5 linked regions of the Rattus norvegicus genome follow. The protein of the gene in region 3 interacts with the protein of the main gene of each other region in a pairwise test. Links are inferred from orthologs where the notes say so. Each region holds a gene or a part of one and is shown on either strand. Other genes may lie near its edges.

Evidence for each region.
Region 1: the proteins of Ptk6 (region 3) and Fcho1 interact in binary tests that used the Homo sapiens proteins (3 or more experiments, as listed by UniProt). The two-hybrid records come from large-scale screens. The link is inferred for Rattus norvegicus from reciprocal best matches to the Homo sapiens genes PTK6 and FCHO1.
Region 2: the proteins of Ptk6 (region 3) and Ccdc33 interact in a two-hybrid assay, tested with the Homo sapiens proteins (2 studies listed by BioGRID and IntAct). The two-hybrid records come from large-scale screens. The link is inferred for Rattus norvegicus from reciprocal best matches to the Homo sapiens genes PTK6 and CCDC33.
Region 4: the proteins of Ptk6 (region 3) and Khdrbs2 interact in binary tests that used the Homo sapiens proteins (3 or more experiments, as listed by UniProt). The two-hybrid records come from large-scale screens. The link is inferred for Rattus norvegicus from reciprocal best matches to the Homo sapiens genes PTK6 and KHDRBS2.
Region 5: the proteins of Ptk6 (region 3) and Exoc5 interact in binary tests that used the Homo sapiens proteins (3 or more experiments, as listed by UniProt). The two-hybrid records come from large-scale screens. The link is inferred for Rattus norvegicus from reciprocal best matches to the Homo sapiens genes PTK6 and EXOC5.

What each region holds. Positions count from the first base shown.
Region 1 is NC_086034.1:18,461,899-18,466,148, reverse strand, and holds the start of Fcho1 (F-BAR domain only protein 1), read left to right. Parts: upstream 1-1,450; 5' UTR 1,451-1,485; intron 1,486-2,164; exon of another isoform or gene 2,165-2,322; intron 2,323-2,536; exon of another isoform or gene 2,537-4,250. UniProt on the Homo sapiens protein: Functions in an early step of clathrin-mediated endocytosis. Has both a membrane binding/bending activity and the ability to recruit proteins essential to the formation of functional clathrin-coated pits.
Region 2 is NC_086026.1:67,410,679-67,414,986, forward strand, and holds the start of Ccdc33 (coiled-coil domain-containing protein 33), read right to left. Parts: upstream 2,808-4,308; 5' UTR 2,451-2,807; coding exon 2,430-2,450; intron 1-2,429.
Region 3 is NC_086021.1:188,690,423-188,694,684, reverse strand, and holds the start of Ptk6 (protein-tyrosine kinase 6), read left to right. Parts: upstream 1-1,460; 5' UTR 1,461-1,751; coding exon 1,752-1,981; intron 1,982-4,262. UniProt on the Homo sapiens protein: Non-receptor tyrosine-protein kinase implicated in the regulation of a variety of signaling pathways that control the differentiation and maintenance of normal epithelia, as well as tumor growth.
Region 4 is NC_086027.1:41,941,764-41,945,876, reverse strand, and holds the start of Khdrbs2 (KH domain-containing, RNA-binding, signal transduction-associated protein 2), read right to left. Parts: upstream 2,808-4,113; 5' UTR 2,657-2,807; coding exon 2,566-2,656; intron 1-2,565. UniProt on the Homo sapiens protein: RNA-binding protein that plays a role in the regulation of alternative splicing and influences mRNA splice site selection and exon inclusion. Binds both poly(A) and poly(U) homopolymers. Phosphorylation by PTK6 inhibits its RNA-binding ability.
Region 5 is NC_086033.1:24,821,437-24,824,946, forward strand, and holds part of Exoc5 (exocyst complex component 5), read right to left. Parts: intron 1,843-3,510; coding exon 1,748-1,842; intron 736-1,747; coding exon 588-735; intron 1-587. UniProt on the Homo sapiens protein: Component of the exocyst complex involved in the docking of exocytic vesicles with fusion sites on the plasma membrane.

The sequences.
Region 1 (4,250 bases), on a different chromosome or scaffold from region 3:
GAGCTGATGCTGAGGCCACAGAGGGGTGCTTCTTACTGGCTTGTTCCCTATGGCTCGTTGGGACTGCTTTCTTATAGGCTGAAGCATCAAGTCTTGAGTTCTAGGCCAGCACCTGCCGTAAGAACCAGCCAATGGCAGATGAGAGTGATTACAGGTCAAAGCCCTTTCCATTCGACTCTGATGGCTTCACTTCAGCTCCTGGAACTTTCACCCACTCCATCCGTGTACATGGCAAAGGTGTGTGAGCACACACTTATGGGGGGAGGGGAGGGAGATGCTGTTGTTACCATTCTCAAAACCCAGATGCCAAAGGTGACTAGAGGTCTGAGTGTTACGAGGGCTCTTGGGGCAGAAAAAGGACATGTGGAAAATGGAAACGGCGTGGGTTCATAAATGGAGAGCAGGCTCTCTTACCTCGAGGCAACTGGGTGTGGGAGCCCATCCAAGTGTTTAATCTTTATTGTTCGAATTGATGAGAAAGATGATTACTTGATTGATTGGTAGTGTGCACATCCCACAGGTGAGAGAATACTTTTCAGGACTTCCTCATCAAATCCAGGCTTTGCCACACACATCTTTGCCTGCTGAGCCCTCTCGTCGGCCCCGAAGCTGGTGTTCAGATGTGCGTGATTGCCATTGGAACCTAGCGTCATTTGGGGCAGAGCTGCAGTTCAAGTAAGAAGTGGGGGCAGTCTCAGGCTGGGTTAGACCTGGATTTGATCCCCAGCCACAGGGAAATGTCCAAACTGGGGTGTCATGATCCAAAGCTGCAGGGGCCTGTACCTAAGATGAAGGCACATGGCTTTCCGGTTGTCCCGAGCCCAGTGGTCCCACATTCTTGGATGTGCTTCTTGGGCAGGGGACCAGGTGGCTCAGGTATCCTGAGGATCATGCTGCCGCCTTGTGTCCCTGAACGGGAGACTGAAACAGAGCCCAGGTCAGGGAGTCGTTAAGTCTCTCAAAGTTGTCATATGGGAGAGGAGTATGTGGCTCTTGCTTAGCACTGGGGCAGCCTGGCTTCATCACCAGCACACACAGGCTGAATAAATAAATGGCCTGTCATATGAATGTATGGACCAGAGTGGCTTTCTGACCTCCAAAGCAACTCCTAGCCCTGTTCCTTGGTGCCTTTGTTTGTAAAATGAGGCTCAATATTAAATGTCATCTCACTCACAGCCTGGGAGGAGTTCTCCAAAGAGCCATATATGCAGTAGGTACTCAGTAAAAGCTATTCCCTCCTTCCCACCCTCCCTCCTGCAAGAATGACAGGTGCAGAAAGCAAGGAGCGTCTCCTGTCGCTTTAAAATATGCAAATAGCCTGCGGGTGAGTGTCCAGGCTCAGCCAACCAGTGCAGGGTTTATGAAGCACCGCGGGGCGGAACTCCTCCTGGCCACACCCGTGGGCGGGGCCAGCGGCGCGCTCCGCAGCTCAAGGGGAGGGCGGGGCGCGCGTCTGGAGCGCGCAGGTGGCGGCCGCGAGAGGCGGTGAGTGTCCCTGGCGCGGAGTGCGGGTGCGGGGCGATGGTGCGGGGTGCGGGGCGGGGGTGCGGGGCGGGGGTGCGGGGCGGGGGCATAGCTCTATCCTGACCCGGCCCGAGCGTAGGTGCCGCCTTCAGAAGGCGGGGCGCTGCTCCATTGCATCCCTCAATCCCGGGCTGGGAGGGTGAGACCCCCCCAGGACTCCCAAATCTCTCTTCCTGGTCTCCAGCCTGCAGATCCCTAGTTCTAAGCTGGGGTCCGCCTCCCTCGCTGCCCCCCATCCACACCAGGGAACCGGGGTCCCCTTCCTCCAATTGCACCCACCCTGGGGTTGGTAGGCAGGTGGGGGCTCTGCCGGGCGAGTGTGGTAGGGCTACAGGGTATCTGGAGTATGGAGCGCGGGATCCCCTCCCTGGTGAGCGGGGCCTGGAGAGGCCTGGAGCCCGCACCAGGGACTCCCGCACCCTGTTGGGGGGCGGCTGGCATCTGCTTCAAGGAACAGAATTAGACTAGGTGAATGAGGGTCAGGGTGCAGAGAAGGTCGGGGTGCCGCCCCTCCACTTGCCCTCAGCATCGCGGGACCTTTCATGGTGACCTTGGGCAGGTGACAGCACCTCCTTGACCCTTAGTCTCCTCTTCCGAATGTAGAGGTTGAGGAAGCCAAACTGTCTCAGATTCCCAATACCTGTGCCCCATTTTTCCAGGTGGGGACCACAATCTTCGGTCAAATGTTAGGGTAGACTCCGTTTTCCTAGTTGAGCCTGGTGTGGTCATTCCAGTCCTCCGGTGGCTGAGGCTGGAAGGTCTGCAGCTTGAGGCCAGCCTGGGCTACATAGACAGACTCTGCCTCATAAAAAAAAAAAAAAGCATAAACCAAAACAAACCATGATTTTGATTGATGGGTACAGTCTAGTCTGGGGCAGAGCAGAGGGATCTAAGGCCAGGAGAGGACAATTTTCATCTGACCATAAGACGGACCTGCCTCCAATCAAGACCCACACTTTGTCACCCTAGTCCCACCCGTGTGACTGCCCAGGTCACACCCTGACCCACATACCATCACCTACAACAGGGTTCCTGGGCTGGTTTCTGGGCGGGGTCCCAGGCTTAGTCCTTGCCTCTGGCAGGATAGTAGGGTAAGTTCCAGGCAGGAAGCCTGACACCCCCAAATTTGTGTGCTCAGACTGGACTGACTGAGCCTTCTGTGAAATGGGCCGAAACCCTGTGGGAAGATCAGAGGTGGTTGTGGAAGTGAGGACACGCTGTAAACACCCACTCCTGTGGTAGTAATTATGATATTGCATCCATTAAATGGGGTCACAGCCAAGGAGGCAGTGGGATGTCTTTAAAGGGTGTGACCAGAGTCACCAGCCCACGGACTGGGTACACAGTGGTGCTCAAAGTATGTTTGACAAATGAAATGACTCAGCCGAAGGCTTGCACAGAGGCCTCAGTTTCCCCATGGAATCCTGCTGGGGTTCGGGGGGCAGTGAAAATCACACAACAAGGGGTCAATGGTTGTGGGCACAGCCAGCCTGTATCCAACCCCCAGAGTGCAGCTCTGGTCTGGTCTTGCCTGATTCAGTTCCCTGGTGCTGTTCACACAGTCAAGCCTTAGGTTTTGGGGACTCATTGTCAAGGGATGGGGTGCTTGCTGTGTGCCTCTGGGTAAGTGTCTGTCCCTAGACCTTATTCTAGTATTGCAGAAGCCAGAAAGCCCTGGGTTACATTAGGTAAACTGTCTTAGGCCAAAATATTTCAGAGGCCTATAGTGGTGTTTTAATGTCCTTCCATATCACACAGGTTAAAACAAACCAAACCAAACCCCAAGAACGTGGTACTGAGAGATGCCTTGGAGTACTTAATATTTATGTACCAAACAAAGCCAAGCATGGTGGTGCACACCTGTCACCCCAGCGCCCAGAGGAGGAGGCAGGAGAATCAAACATTTGAGGTCATCCTCTGCTACATAGAGAATTTCTAGGCCAGCCTGGGCTACATGAGGCCATGTCTAAAAACATACTTTAATCTGTTGATCCTAAAGAAGTTGTAAAGAATATTTGAGTTTCCCCTTCTGAGGCTTCACCTGTCTCCAAGCCTCAGTTTCCCCTCATGGGCATACAGACCCAGCTCGGGCCAAGGTAGAGGATCTGTGGGTGTCTAAGTGTCTCTCTGGTAAGAGTCACGTCGCCCCCGGCCTGCTCCCTCACCTCCCCCATCTGTGTGTTGTGCTGTGACTGTGGGGAGGTCCCAGGGGTGCTGGGCGGGGAGGTGACGGTTGGGTGGCAGGCAGGGCGGGCCGGGCTTCCTGTCCTCCCCCAGACAGAGGCCTCCAGTTAATGCTGGCGGAAGTGTTAGGGGTTACCTCCGGGTGCCTACCCCAGCCCTCAAGGCCACAACTCCTCAGTGCCCATCGGTGAGTTTGCCCCAATCTTTGTCTCCCGGAATGGAAAGGGATCCCAGAGCTGTGGTTCCCGGTCTGGGGCCAACGGTCTCAGTCCCTGTCACTTCCTGGCCAGGTGGCAGCATCTGGGCCTATCCTTGGTGCCACCTCTGGCCACTCTCTAGTCGACCCTGACCTGGGTACAGGTTGTGGCCTGTCAGGGCCTGCTGGGTGGAGTTCCGGGCAGCCAGGCGGGCAATTGTGGCTCCAATAACTGTGTCTGGCTGGGTGGGGTAGGGGACAACTTGAAGTGTGCCCCCTCAGAGGGCTTCTATGTAGGGGATGGTGGCAGGGTGCTGTCTAACAGGAGCTTTGGGGACATTGATGG
Region 2 (4,308 bases), on a different chromosome or scaffold from region 3:
CACAGGCCTGCTAACTTGTGATGGATCCTATAAACTACATAGAAAGCCAGGGGAGGGAACATGCATCTCTAACCTTAGCACTCTTGAGGCAAGATGGAAGCTAAAGATCCCCCCCCCCCAAACTTACGGGTCACTACCCTGGCATGAGGGATGGACAGAAATGAGAGATCTTGTTTCAGAACAAGATAGGAGAACACCAGTTCCCAAAAGTTACTCTGTGACCTCCCCTCAACACTCACACATGTACACACTCCACCTCCACCATCACCACCACCAACAAAAACAGTACTTCACTACCCTAGCTTTGATGGCCAGCCTTGCCTGGGCACTAGGATAGCCTGCAAGGCCCCTTCATACTGAGGGAAAGGGCTCAGGATATGAGACCTCTCCACTCTTTTCATGCGTCTTTACCCGGTTCATTTCCTGGGTTACTATGCTTACCCCGAGGGCCCGTAGCCTCAGGATTTACTGATAATGGCAGAAGTTCCAGAGCCTGATGCAGGAGTGCTTTTCACATGATGACACAGGGCTGAGCTGCAGCTCAGTGGGAGAGCACATACTTATTACGCACGAGGCCCCAGGCTGATTCCTCAGCTCCACAGAAACATGTAAAATGTCAGAAACCTCAGGGAAAATAACTGGTAGGTTTGATTACAGTTTTCAAAAAACCAGGTTGGGGAGCTAGCTTTCAGGTAGAAAGTCTGCCTGGTATGCATAGCCCTTAAATTCAATCTTCAATATGAGGGGGAAGGGAGGGAGGGAGGGGACACTTTACAACGTCCACCTAACCAGGCCTGGTGGCTCATGCCTGGAATCCTGTCACTCTGGAGGCACCACAACTCTGAGGCTTGCCTGGTCTACATACTGAGTTCCAGACCAGCTAGGGCCACATAGTGAGACCCTGTATCAGAAAGCAAAGGAAAAAAAACCGAAAGAAAAAAGATGATAAATAAAACAGAATTAATATTTCTTTTTTTTTTTTTTTTGGTTCTTTTTTTCGGAGCTGGGGACCGAACCCAGGGCCTTGCGCTTCCTAGGCAAGCGCTCTACCACTGAGCTAAATCCCCAGCCCCCAGAATTAATATTTCTAACGCACTAGGAGCACTGGAATTTAGAAATGTTACATGAATAAAAATGTTACAGGCTGAGGAGTGGCCAAAGAAACTAAATGGGGGGGCTAAGTATGGCAGTATGGCTCAGTAGGTAAAGTTCTTGCCTGCACAACTTTATTGAGCACCTACTATATGCCAAACACTGTATTTATTATACAGCAGAATTTTATATTATATGGTAGTAATCAAAATAATCTAATAAAATAAAGAAGAGCAAAACACTGAATGCTATCTATTCCAGGGACCCTGACACCATCACACAGACATGCATGCAGGCAAAACACCAAGGCACATAAAATTAAATACACCTTAAAGGAAAGGAAAAGTTACTTCAGCAAGGAGAACAGCTGAGGCACTGGAAGGGACACTGGGCCAGCCAGAGACAGGAAGCAGAGCTGAAGTGAGGTCTCTAAATGCTGCTGACACCCCACCTTTGCTACAAGTATTTATTTCCTTTTCCCTGCCTCCAGCCCCATAACCTAAGACACCCTGGAAGTTCAGAGCCGACATCAGGGCACCAGCACTGGGCTTGTGCGGAGTGAGGAGGGGGCGGAGTTCAGATTCACAGCATCCACACCAAAGCCGGGCACATGGCGGCCTCACTCTGGTTCCCAGTGCTGGGAGTTGGGGTGGAAGATGGACAAGGGCATCCTAGCTATTGAGCTCACCGGCAGCCAGCCTAGTCAGTCAGTGAGTCAGTGAGCTCCAGGTTCAGGGAGAGGCCCTTACTCAAAAAATGAGGGGGAGTGACAGACACTTGATGTCCCTCTCTGGCCTCCGTACACACACACACACACACACAATCAAAGAAATATGAATGTGTGATATTACAGGGGAGCGGTCTGTCCTTATAGGGAAATGGCACAGACACAGGTTTGGTTTTGCCACCAAATGAAAGGGGGAGGTATGTGAGCCCTTCCACTGAACTGCTGGCATTCCTGGCTCTGGGACCCTCCTGGCAGGTTCTTGCCATTCTTCCACAATTCCTTATTGAACATGTACTCTGTCCTATGCACTGTTCTAAGTGTAGGGGATACAGCAGTGATCAAAACAGGGGAACAACCATGCAGCCAAGGATTGCATGGTGGCTGATGGGCAACATCAGTGGGCTCTCAGGCCAGGGCAGGCCAAGTCAACCACCATCTTGGGGTATTGCATGTCATCCCTGAGAGCCTCAGAACAGAACACCTAATCACCACCACTCTCGGCTCACAGCGGTGATTGAGACCCAGAGAAGGAACACTCTTGTCGAGCTTGTCACCGTCAGAGGACAAGGATGAGATTACGCAGCTGTTACAGACTCTGCCCTAGCCTCACCTTTGTCTTCTGTCGTCCCATCCTCTTGGGGGCAAGAAGTGTTCACTTAGCAATCTTGGGGTTAGTATTAGCACTGGATACGGGCAGGGGATCAGTCATGGGCCTCGACAGCCAGCATGCCCAGATACCTTGAGTCTTTACCCATCAGTGTGGTCTCAGGGGTGCCACACACTGCTTTTGGGGGCTGGACTGGGTAGGGGAAGTTGAGTGGGCGGATACAATATGAATCCTTCTCAGAAGTGAGAGATCCCGTGGGTGGAGGTGCCTTGGAGTATTTAGGCCATGATCAGCTGAGCAGGGGGTTAGGGAACTGACTCCTGGCAGCCACAGGAGGGTCACGTGGGGTGAACCTTGCTCTGCCCAGTCTTGGGAAAGTACAGAGTTCTCCATTTAGCTGGATCACCTAGGCAACACTGTATGACATCACAGGCCAGAATCGGTCACACGGATGCAGTGCAGCAGGGTGGAGTCAGAAGCCCTCTTCTCTTTCCCCTGCACTGACTGGTGACCAGTCCCTGCTATCCTGTCCTTAGTGAATGTGACTGGATCACCACACTGTGTGCCCAGTCCCTCGTTCTTACCACAGCACAGAAGACCGATCACTATCCTCAGAGATGATGCAGGGAAGTTCTATAGGTAGTCACCTAGCCTCCTTGGGCTCAGCCATTAAAGTGCCTGCCTTGTAAGCATGGGGACCTGAGTTCAGATCCCTAGCACCCATGTAAAAAGCAGGGCTGTAGTCATCACTGGGAAACGGTGGTTGGTGCATCCTGAACTCACCCGCCAGCCTAGCCAGTGGGTGAGGTCCAGGAGAAGTGAGAGAACCCACCTCTGGCCTGAGACTGAGAAAGAGACCTGACATCATCAACCTCTGGCTTCCACGTGCACAAGAGTAGACGTCTACGACCACCATATGCACGCAACTTCCCCCTCGCCCACCATGAACATGCTCACAGGCATACAACACACCAAATAAACATTAAAAAACTCAAGGAATGGTTTCTTCTTGGAGGGCGGTAGAACTATGGGGGAGAGAATGGGTAAAGGACTGAAACATACATTGTTGGTGACACACTAAGAATCGCTAACATTTTTCTGTGTATTGTCTGCATGCATGGCTGTGACCACATTGTGTACATTGCTGGCAGAGGTCAGCTGGATGAAGTGGGAAACATGAGGGCTCAAGTAGACATGTGATTCAAAGTCAGGCTCTTTTCCTCCCAGTTCCAGGGGCAATCCATCTGTACAAGTCCCAGGACAGTGCCTCTCCATCTTAGAGACCCCAGCTAGGCTTCCCTTTTCCCCTTAGAACCTGGCTTCCCCATCATCTCCATTTCTTTCCCCTCCTGCTGAGTGGCAGGGTTGGATAAGGTAGGAAACACAGGTGGTGTGGGTTTTGGAGCAACTCACCCATAGCTGTGTGGCTGTAGATAAAGTATTAACCTCTCTGGGCTTTAGTTCCCTCCATCATATGATTAGGAATCAGGGCCACTCTAGGAGCTGAGACAAAATGCTCACTCTGGAGCTTGGTTTTGCCTAGCAGACATGGACTGGAGAAATAACAGATGTCTGCAGATGCTAGCCATATACTTCTAACCCGGTGCTTGGTCGTTACACCCTCCTCCAGATACCCTAGCCTATTCATTTCTGTTCCCAGGCTGGTTCCCATGGCCACAGCAACACCCCTTCTCTGTAGGGTCTCGCTTGCTCGGGACCCTCTTCCCAGGAGGTTCAGAAGGAAAGCAGCCTCGTTTGTGCATGGCGACAGATGCCTTAGTTTGTGTGGTTTTGGGGTGGCTCTTACACTGTGTTTAATCCTCAAAGAGTGAGGGTTGGGGGCTTAGCAACGTCACTATTCCTCTTTAGGTTTTTATTTTGA
Region 3 (4,262 bases):
ATTGATTGATCGACCCTTCCCCACACCTTATGGGGAGCTGAGCTAGGCTGGGTAGGTGTGAAGCTACTGAGTAATGCATGTTGCTGTTCTTAATCCCAATAGGAAGTGGGTAGTGCTTTGTCTCTTCCATGAAAGAAAACGCGAGGCCTGGCACAGTTCTCGGAAGTAGAACATTCATTCAACATGTGGGCCAGAATTTGATCCTCAGCATGAAGTAGCATCCCCCACCACCACCCCCACTCCCACCACCACCACAGCACTCCCCCACCTTAAAAAAGAAAAAAGAAAGAAAAAGAAAAAAAAATCATTATTTCCCAGGTCACTCACCCTTATAGACTTTTCAATTTCCTTTCCCGTCCTGGGTGTGCAGGATCACCCAATCATGAACACAACAGGATCAGCCAGAGTGAGAAGGGTTGCCAGGGCCACTCTGGAGACAGGGAATCCTTGGAGCTCTCAAGGTTCAACAGGAGGAGGAGGGACAGACTGGAACAGTCACAAGTAGGGCTACTAGGGATTGGGTAGCATGGGAGGTGAATTAAAAGAGGCCCGGGGGGGGGGGGTTGGGGATTTAGCTCAGTGGTAGAGCGCTTGCCTAGCAACTGCAAGGCCCTGGGTTCGGTCCCCAGCTCAAAAAAAAAAAAAAAAAGAGAGAGAGAGAGAGACCCTGGGGGCCGCAGAGCAGGAGGGAAACCTGGGAAAGAGGGTGGTGGAGCTGTAGAGGCCCTGGTGGTGTGGGCCCTTCCTAGCCATTACTCACCCTTTGTGTCTGCCCCTTTTGTGTCCTTATCTGGAGGATAGGACAATACTTGCTTCTTGATCTGAGGTCTATGGACCACAGACACATCTCCAAGATATCAGAAAGCATTCTAACCCAGCTCACGACACACACAGATGGTCATGCCCTCATACCCCTTGGTTCCCTTTGGCTCTCCAGCTGTCATGCTGTGGTCTAGCATGCTGTCATGGCTGGCTTCTCCAGGATAGACTGTATCTGAATGTCCTCAGCTCAAGGAACCTGAGTTGTGGCAGAAGCTCAGGCTGGGGTATGTTCTTTAAGTTCACAGGTCTCATGCAACCCTCACCCCCTCAAGCCCCACCAGTTTCTTCTTTGTCTCCAACTCATGCCCTGCCCGATTTCCTTGATACCATGCCTAGATCTAGTCCTGTTAGCATCTAGAGGGTGGACACCTGCTCAGGGAGGCGGCGGTCATGAATGTCAAGTCTTTCAGGGGGACGCTTTCTCCTTTGGCAGGAGGGACCAGCCAGTGTAAGGGAGTTTGTTTTTGTTTGCATGTAGAAGAGCCATTGCTTTACTCTCTACTCTGTTCTAGCAACCTGCCCACCATCTTTGAAATCTCCCTCCACTGCTCCCCTCCCCTTCCTTTAGCTCCAAGACTCACACCTCAAGGGGACAAGGCTTCAGTTGATACCTGTGTGCTCCCCATCTAATAGGGTATTCTGTGTAACTGTGGCTAGGTCTTGTCAAGGGGTTGTTTAGCTGACAGGCTTTCACCGAGTGTGAACACATAGCATGGTCTTATCCTGTAGATAAAAGAACAAACAGGGGCTAGAAGGGCCTTCAGGGTGGAGCTAGGTTAGTCCATCTCCAATCAGTGCCGGGTGTGGCTGCTCTCCTGCCCATCATAAGGAAGTAGGTGTGACTGGCTTTCTGGGAAAAGTTCCTCCTACCTCTCCCAGCAGTAAGTGTCTACAAGTAGGCCACAGTTGGCTCTGCCACTAAGCCTGCCATGGTGTCTTTGGACAAGGCTCACCTGGGTCCTAAGTATGTGGGCCTCTGGGACTTCAAAGCACGAACGGACGAGGAGCTGAGCTTTCAGGCAGGAGACCTCCTCCATGTTACCAGGAAGGAGGAACAGTGGTGGTGGGCCACCCTGCTGGATGCGGAAGGCAAGGCCTTGGCTGAGGGCTACGTGCCCCACAACTACCTGGCTGAGAAGGAAACTGTGGAGTCTGAACCGTGAGTGGCCCTGGGGAGTTGGCACAGAGGGAGGGGTGGGTGTCCGTGGGCACTGGAATGGACTGGGGAGGCCAGAGGGTGTAAGATCCTACTTGACATTCAGCTGGTCATACTCTGATCCTTAACATTCTGGTACACAGTGTTGCTGATGGGGCTATGCTTCTGAGCAACACTTGGGGACAGGGTCTCTATTTTGGACTCACCTATGATCACTTCCCAGCCATAAGTACTGCTCTGCTAGGACCCAGATGGGTCCAGAGGGGCCTGATGTGGAATTTTAAGATGTTGTCTGTGAGGGACAAGATCTGTGTGGGAATTCAAGAGCTGTTGGGGGTGTGAAGTTTGCTCATTTTCCAAACAGCCAAAACCAGATGTGCAACTTAGTTAACTAGGGAGAAAGAAGGCTGCTGGGGCACACCTATTTATATCACCTGGCAGGGGGCATATGTTGCAAACACCACAGTGGTAAGTGTTTACATGTTCTCTGAGGCACCCTAGTCCACTGTTCTTGGCCTCCCACATATCTGAGCCCTTGGAGGCTTTGAGGAACTACAATAGTGACTAGTATGGGCATGTTCACAGGCACCCAAGGACCCAAGCTACGTAGGTTGCTCTGGGCTAAGGCTATGAAGGGTCCAGCAGCAGCGGTTTCTTACTGTTTTGCTCTTGAGACCCCCCCAATGCCTCATCTCACAGTGAGTACCTATGGTGCTCAATGAAGATTGTGAACACACAAACAAGAAACGAATACTAAATAGTACCTAGGACAGTTCCAGAGACAGAGACTCAAGACAGAAGTGAGGTAGGCATGGGTGGTGCGCATAAAAGAATGAGGAGAGCCAGGTGCCTTGAACACTCGGGAGGTAAAGGCAGGTGTTTATCACTAAATTCCAGGGCAGCCTGGTGTGTGTGTGAGTGTGTGTGTGTGTGTGTGTGTGTGTGTGAGAGAGAGAGAGAGAGAGAGAGAGAGAGATCAGACAGATAGAGACAGAGAGAGAGAGACAGAGACAGAGACAGAGACAGAGACAGAGACAAAGACCATGTGGCCAATATAGCAAGGGCAAAGGCCCTGAGGTCCTGAGAATCTAGCACAGGCAAACATGTCAGAGGAGGGGAGGGGCAAAGCAGAGGAGGCAAAGTGGTCAGAGGGGAGAGTGGGGCAGATTCTGTACTCTGCAGGACCCGAGCAGGTGGGCTTCAAGGGCTTGAGCTAGATGTTAAACTCTTTTTTTAAAAAAAAGATTTACTTATTTATTATATATAAGTACACTGTAGCTGTCTTCAGACACACCCGAAAAGGGCATCAGATCCCATTACAGATGGTTGTGAGCCACCATGTGGTTGCTGGGAATTGAACTCAGGACATCTGAAAGAGCAGTCAGTGCTCTTAACCACTGAGCCATCTCTCCAGCCCTAGATGTTAAACTCTTACGTGGAGCCTATGATCTGACAGCTCTTGAGGGAGTTGGAGACTCCGAGGGCAGAGATCACCCATGGAATTCCAAGGACTTTCACCTGTAGTTCAGTTCAGGCATATCTCCATCCCTTTGGTTGGAAGCCAGTATGATAAAATGGCTTTGAATGGGAGAGTATGAGCATGGGGGCTACCGTGTCTGTGCATGTACATAAGGGCGTGCTTATCAGAGTGTATGCAAGCTCGGGTTAGTATGAGAATGTGAGTGCACGGATGGGTACACACACAAGTGTGCAACATGAGGACATGGTCAGTGCAATGTGAGTGCACAGTTGTGTGTGGAAAATATCTATCAAACATGCACTTGTATTTCAGTGCATGTCTGTGCACACAAGTGCACATGTGCAAATGGCTATGTGGTTATATGCACATGTATGTGAAAATATGAGGCAGGAGGCAGGACCAGGGAGCTGCTGTTGAGACTTGTCTCCTGCTTCTGGGCCAAGGCTGGTATCTATAGCTTAGGGCCTACAATGTGTTAAGGGACATTCACAACATAGAATTGCTTTTAAAGGGGAGGGGACTCTGATCCCCAGGTGGTCATCATGCAGAGCAGGGTGGAAGGCAGTGTTTGCCTGTCCCACTTCTGAGCCTCCGGGACCTTTCCTGGTGTCCAGAAGCAGACATTTAGGACTCTCAGGATCCATGATGGGCAGAGAGGCCTCTGTAGGGTTGGGAGCAGCACAAGAGGCAGCTTAGCTGGAGTTGGGAGTGTGAGACGGGAACCAGAGGTTATCTAGGACTCCAGGTAGGCAGGGCAAGGGTAAGTAACAGAGACAGGATGGGTGTGGAGCTGGGGTAGAGATC
Region 4 (4,113 bases), on a different chromosome or scaffold from region 3:
CCGTTAGCAGATTCAGAAACGTCTTCCGTAACAAACGGCTAACTACATAAAACTGTAACTACAGTATGGAAGTTATTTTAATCAAATGCATTATGCAAAACCTTTAACCCATATTATTCAAGATCTGCCATGACTAACAGTCAAAATCACAAATTATTTGTTTTTAATTTTTTTAAATATGACCCCTACTGAAAACACAAACCAGAAACAAATGGACTGAAATACAATAAAAACAACCAAAAGAGGTCATTTGCAGCCCACAGCCTTGCACACTAAATGAAGCAGGCACAAGTGAGGAGAGGTTTGTGTCTGTCACTAAGGAGAAGGCAAAGTAAGGCACTGTGAGAGCTCAGTGCTTCTAGAAACTCATCCCAAAGAATGGAATCATCTGGATCATTTTTATTGCCCACCTCAGTCTCAAGACTGTCTGCACAGCACTGCTGACGTGCACTCCAGTGTGCACCTTCCTTCCCTTGGAGTATGTGTGTCAAGTTTATTTATAGACAATGCCTTCGAATGCAACGTTTCCAGGTATGAGAAATAAAATCTCTACGGTGATCCTAGAAACCTTCACAAATAGCCTTTGAGAAGACAATGGAAAAAAATCTATAATGCAACACGTGCATTATGATTCGCTGAGACTCCAAAGCACACTCACCTTTCACTCTAGTGAGCATGTGTAAAGAGGCGGGTAGAGTTACAGAACTGATGTGGGCCCTGGACGTCTTTTTATGGAACTATCTGACTACTCTAGGATTACCGCCGCCACCTCTTTCCTCCTCTTGTTCTCTTTTCTCATTAGGAATTCTCTGAAATTTAGGCACCCTCTTTGTTTCTTAGTGAGATGCTTTTCTAGCCAGGAGCTTTTTTAAAATAACCCATTACAAAAGCAGGCCATGCTTCCCCCTGCTGGGAAAAAATTAAATTACAAGGTGCATTAGAACAATTTTCCTAAGTCTCAAGCAACCTTGTGTTTGGGAAAGAAAGAAACAGCAGGAAAGCAGATACTTAGTGGTCTCTTAACTGTTTCACTGGTCAAGAATATGCACCACACCTCACTCTAGTAAGGCTTTTATCTACATCTTTTAGTTCTGTAAGTTTTAAAAGTACAATTAATACACATTAATAACCGATGGGCCAATTATTGAACCCTCTGTCCCAAAGAGAGCTCCGGTTATCAGGTCAGAGAAGATTATGAATCTGTTTTCATTGCTCATTGAATGGAAACACTTCTGAAGAACGGAGTGAAGCAAACAATCAAAGAATACAGTTTTAATCTGTCCATGTTTATTGAGTCAATATCTTCCGATATGCAGCCGTTGTTCTCCAACGGCAGAGAAGAGCGTCGTTCATGACTTTAGTTTTTCAGTTTCATTTATTATCATTTGATTATTAGGTTGTGGTATGCAGGGTTGCATTTCACTGCCTAACTACAAAGCCAGCTTCTCCCCGTGAAAACAGTGTGAGTATTTAGAATCTTCCACATTTTTCCTGGCAGTCTTTCACGAGATACTTTGTTATTACGGGTTATAATAAATAGCAACCGCTAAAAATGCCAAAGTAAATCTAATGTCTCTGAATCATCTGAGGAGTAAATTTTTTCCTAAGATGCACAACTAAATCTCAAATGTATTTTAATGCTGAGGAGCTGGAAGAGAGAAAGATGTCACTGATTCTTCTAGTGGGTAAGACCTCAAGATCCTAAGCTGCAGGGTAGCCAGTCTGAGGAGGAAGCACTTCATCACTAACGAAACGTTCATCCAAAAATTCAGCAGTCGTGTTAAATTGGAGAGTGCAGGGTACCAGGTACCAGAGATGACTTCACTTGCTACCATTGCTTCACATAGATGGAATAATTGGGGTTAATATTTCTGATGGAGAAGTTTTCATGTGCACCTTTTCTCAAACGACCTCTCAAAGCAATGCAAAAGGCAAGACATAGATGTTCCTCTGGGAAACGAATCTCCGCTACAACACAGGTACACAAAAGAAAACGCACACCTGGTTTAAAAACCAGTTGGTCAATTATGGAGCGTTCCGAGGAACCAATATCTTGCATACTACCCAGCCATCACGTTTCGAATACGTTTATAAGCACTTTAGCCTCTGCTTACCATGCTCACATAAATATACGAACATGCATACTTTACTGTTGATTAATTCTAAGACTTTCCAGGGGGAAATAGCAATTAAAGGGTATTAAAATCACTTCGAAACATAGAAGGAAAAAAATACAATAAATAAATAACGCTGATCTGTGACCAAGATGCTCTCAGAACACTCCACGGATCTCATTTACTCCTGTACTGCTTTTGCTGTCTTCTGCAAAGTGAAAAGGTACCGATGAGCCACCTGACACTTGCTGGTTTCCCTGTCCAGGACCCTAACAGGTCGCACCACCCTGCCATTAGACCTCAGGGCTAATTGAGCCTCGGAAGAGCCTGGCCAGCAGCGCTGCGCTCCAGCATTCGGAAGCAGCTCTCAGAGACAGTTTCTACCCAGCGGAGCGCTCGCCCTCCCCAACTTCGCCCTGTCGGGGCTGGCGGTCGCCGGGGCCGGTCCTACCTTCCGCCAGAAGGCGCGACGCGTGCACAAAAGATGGATCAAGGCTATCCTTCTCTGCCATCAGCTCAGGCAAGTATTTCTCTTCTCCCATAGCGCGGACTTCGGACCGTGGCCGGCCAGGCGCAAATCCCGCCTGCTCGGACGCCTCGGTCCCTGGTTCCCCCAGGAACCGTCCTTCCTGCGGTGAGCGCAGCTCTAGCGCCTCGGGCTGCGCAGACCGCGCTGGTACCTGCCTCTCCCGCGCCCCAGCCTGGCTCCGGCCGCGGCCTCAGCTGGAGAGGATGCCCGCGCGGCCCGCCCCCGCCAGCCTCCTATTGGAAGCGGGGTCCGGGGGCGGGGCGCCCGCGGAGGCGGTGGACTATCATTGGCCGGGGCCTCACGTCGAGTCGCCTGAGTGGCAGGAGGCTGCTGCGGAGGGGAGGGGTGTACGAAGTGCAGGAGCACTCTCCAGGCCGCCTTTGCGGTCCCGGTTCTCAGGCCTGGCCAGTGCTGTGGAGTAGGGGCTGACTGTTAGGCAGGCAGGATGGTGAGAGAGGGAGAAATTGCGCTCCAGGAACACAGAAGTGAGCACTTCACCAGGGTCCCCACAGCACAGGTGTCTCTCCCCTGGCGGATCGCAGGCTCATGGGCAGGGTTGGAAATCCGAGGCAAAATGTGGGCTGTGTTTCCCATGACCTACATCATGAGGCAGAAGGATGTCCACTGATGTACAAATGAAGAAGTGCCTGGATTCTATACTAGAGCAAAACGCTTCCAGTGTACATCACCGTAATACAGAATTAGTTCTAGGGATCCACCCATCCCTGTGGTGGAAAATTTGCTCACTGTGTAAACTTAGCGGGGAGGATTGTGAATGAAAGAAGCTAGATGGTGTCTAACTTCTGTCACTCTGATGTTCTCATATTTTAAACCTGATTGAGTCTCTTTCCCTGCCTTGGGAATGTTGCTAAAATATTTTATATCTCCCCTACCTTTATTCAAATGAGCATTTTGCCCCCAAGGATCACCAAGAAAGGAGGAAAAAATGTTTCCTCCCCTTACAGATGGGACCCCTGAATTGTACCTTAAATACTTCAAATGAAAGGAGTCTTTTCTCACTTTGAGGTTGTCTTTCCCCTAACATTCCCTTGTCAATTCTTCTACCTGTTCAACTGGGTAACTTTCCGGGTATATAAAACCTACTGGACGTTTCCTAACTTCTCTTATTCTATCCACAGTGTTCCTGTAATGGTTTATTTTAGATGAACTTGGGATATTATGTTGACTTTGTGTGACATTTTGAAAAGTTATCATGTTTCATATCCAGTAGATAACTCACTCCAGCTCCCAAAAACACTGAGCAACAAGGGCCCAGAGATAACCAGATTTTGCTTCTGTAGTTGATGTAACATACCTCATAGCTGTGCCTAAGCTGAGGAGAAAATTCAAATCTAACCAGGAGGAAGCTTCAGGAGGCAGGGTTTACCCTACCCTCCCATATGCTAGATACTTATATACTGTGCATCAATCCAATTAGTGGTTATACATACTGAAAGGGGTCTAGAGACC
Region 5 (3,510 bases), on a different chromosome or scaffold from region 3:
CTCTTGGGGGGATCATGTATCAGATATCCTAAATATCAAATATTTACACTATGAGTCTTAACAATAGCAACATTACAGCAATGAAGTAGCAACGAAACAATTTAATGGTTGGAGGTGAGCACACCATGAGAAACAGTCTTAAAAGGTCCCAGCATTAGGAAGGTTAAGAACTACTGCTCTCGGGAATAACTTGTTCCAGGTTGGTCTTATTTATGATTAAATTATATTAAAATGACTCCTTAAATATCCATACTAGTAAGGTAGTTCTCAAAATGCAGGGCTAGGGACTAGTCAGTCTTGTGAAAGCTTACTCAATTAAGAGGTGGGAAGCAAGGGTCACTTCTAAGCATCTACCGCCCTAACCTGAACAGGGCAGCACTGGGTTAGAACCCATCTAGTAGCACACCAACGACAATGCTAGGCAGTCACAAACAAACATTAATATCTTATTCCACAGGAACAAAGTTAGACGTTAATACAATTTGACTTGGCTCTTCAAAGACCTAAGGTAAAAGGGTTGAAGAAACTGTGTGTAAGAGAATGAAGATGTTACAGTTCATAGCCGCTCATTTCTGAGCTAAGTGTACCTGGTTGCTTTTCTGCAGCTCTTGTACCTTCTTAGCAAACTCCTTTGCCTCCTTCTGACACTGCTGTTCTAACTTCTCTACTTTCCTTTGAATCCTTTCATCCATTATCTGTAGTTCTTGAATATGATTCACAAATTCTTCTAATAACCTAACAGAGGAAAGTAATAGTACAATCAATTTGCCTATTATTAGCCATAAGGAACAGACCAGTTTTATGAAGGTTTTAGTAAGGGTCCTCTGAGACAGGGACAAGTGTATTCACTTTCTTTACAGCATCTTGTTGCAATTTATTTAATGTCATAGCTTTCTTTCCACTTAGAACAGGTCACGTGACTTTAACAATACATAGCATTAGGAAAAACAGCCAGTTGTTATTGACTTTGCAACGGATTATCTCTAAGGTAAATAAAAACCTGAACAAATCCCCATTAAATATCCAAACAAGCTCTACTTTATTTAAAATTCAAGAAGACAAACGTACAACAAAAATTGTATACATTATAGACTTTATTGACTGTTTCCCTGATTTACAGCTATTAAATTTAAAAGAACATAGTCAACTTTTTCTTATTATTAATTTGCTTATTCAGGATCAGGGTTTTGCTATGTATTCTAGGCTAACCTCCAACTCACAACCCAGCCTCAGCCTCTAGAGTACTTAGATCGCAGGTGGTCAATACCATACCCACAAGTATAACCAGCCTTTTCTAATTTAATGCTAAGTGGAAAAATTAAATTCTTAATAAAGGATAAAATCCTTTTACCCAATCAGCTAAGGAAAAACACTATTTCAGACTTCTAATGCTGTTAAGAAACTTTATTTAAAAGATTTATTTATTTATTTATTATATATGAGTACACTGTCGCTGTCTTCAGACACACCAGAAGAGGGCATCAGATCCCATTACAGATGGTTGTGAGCCACCACGTGGTTGCTGGGAATTGAACTCAGGACCTCTGGAAGAGCAGCCAGTGCTCTTAACCACTGAGCCATTTCTCCAGCTCAAGAAATTTTTGAGGTGGGAAACAAACTATTAATTAAAATTATTTTATATGAATACTCAAAAGAATTCCAATACAGTCATCTCTACTCTAAACACAATTCGTAGTACTATATGGAGACTGTTTTGTTTTGTTTTGTTTTGTTTTGTTAAGTTTACCTTTTAGGATCAAAAGCTTCAGGTCCACCCCTAGAACCACCTCCCGGGGTTCTCCACACGAGACGTTCAATGTATTCATCGGCCACAAAAGGCTCCTGGTTTATAGAATAAACATATTTTAAAAGGGCTTTTGTTGTCGTTGTTTAAAAATCTTCAATAAATAAAGCCAATTGTTTAAAGAAAAGTAGGATGCTAAAATATTAGAACAGCATTACTGACTAGTAGGATGAGCCAAATAGAAAATGAGGAAAGGACATAAAAAGGTAATTTGTTAAAAAACAAAACCAACCAACCAACCAACAAACATCTCAAGCCAAAACCAAAGCACATGTACAGTTTTATTAACAAAGACAAGTTCTCTTTCTTCGGGATGGGGAGAAGAGGTGAGGATGAGGGGGATAGCATATCGCTATGCAGCCTTGACTGGTCTGAAACTTGTTATGACAACCAGGTTGACCTTAAACTCACAGAGATCCTCCTGCCTTTGCCTTGCCAGTGCTGGTGGAATTAAAGATATGACATGCAGCAAGTTATTATTTTTTAATCTAAGAAGCAGAGAAATATATTTTAATTACAGAGCTCAATGTAGCAAAAAGAAAGTAAACTGAAATTTGCACTTTCATTACGGTGGAAAATGTTAATAGATTAACCATTTAAGAAGACAGCTGGCAGCTGTTTTGGTAAAATCAACAGTGTTACACACACTCAGAGCTTTAACCTCATAATTTTATTCTCTGATCACTTGAAGATTGAGGCAACATAACAAATTCAAGGCCAGTCTTGGTTGCATAGCAAGCCCTGTCTCAAAATTTTAAACAGAAATTAAAAATAAAATAAATTTGCAAGGAAATGCATATATAAACAATTCTGGAGTAACTATGCATTATGTGTAATACTCAAAATTATTTATTTAAATATTTAATGAAATTGTACTTAACATAGTAGGTAAACTTAGATGAGAAGCTATGTTCTATTAAAAAAAATCACATAAAGCAACATTCAATGAAAAGAGAAAACCTGTATACACTGTAACAAGCATATTACATTTTCTCAGAAGAAGCATCATTATATTACAACTGTATAGGTTACTGAAGTAGACGGTCCAATCAAAACTAGTGACTATGCATGTTAGGCAATGTGCTCGCCTGCAATCCCAGCACCTTCAAACTTCTGAAGGACAAAGACTTGTGAAGGCAGTGAAAGATGAGGCCACGGAGTCCCCTAAGATTATTAGCAGGTTTCTTATCACACTAGAAGCCAATGCCAATCAGTTCAAAGTACTAAATAAAAATAAATAAATAAATAAATAAGGGGTTGGGGATTTAGCTCAGTGGTAGAGCGCTTGCCTAGCAAGTGCAAGGCCCTGGGTTCGGTCCCCAGCTCCGAAAAAAAAGAAAAAGAAAAAAAATAAATAAAAATTAAAAAAAAAGGCAAAGAATCCTATAGCCAGCAACATCAGCATTCAAAAGCAAGGGAGAAATTGAAATGTTTCTAGATCTAAGAAGGGCTGGAGAGATGGCTCAGTGGTTAGGAACACTGGTTGTTCTTCCAGAGGTCCTGAGTTCAATTCTGGACAACCACATGGTGGCTCACAGCCATCTGTAATGGGATCTGGTGCCTTCTGTATGTCTGAAGACGGCTACAGTGTACAATGTTCCTAAGTTTAAAACATAGGCAGGCAGGTGGACAGACAGACAGAGACAGACACACAGATAAGAATATGTTACCACTAGACCTGCCCAGAATGTAAGGTGAAATAAATG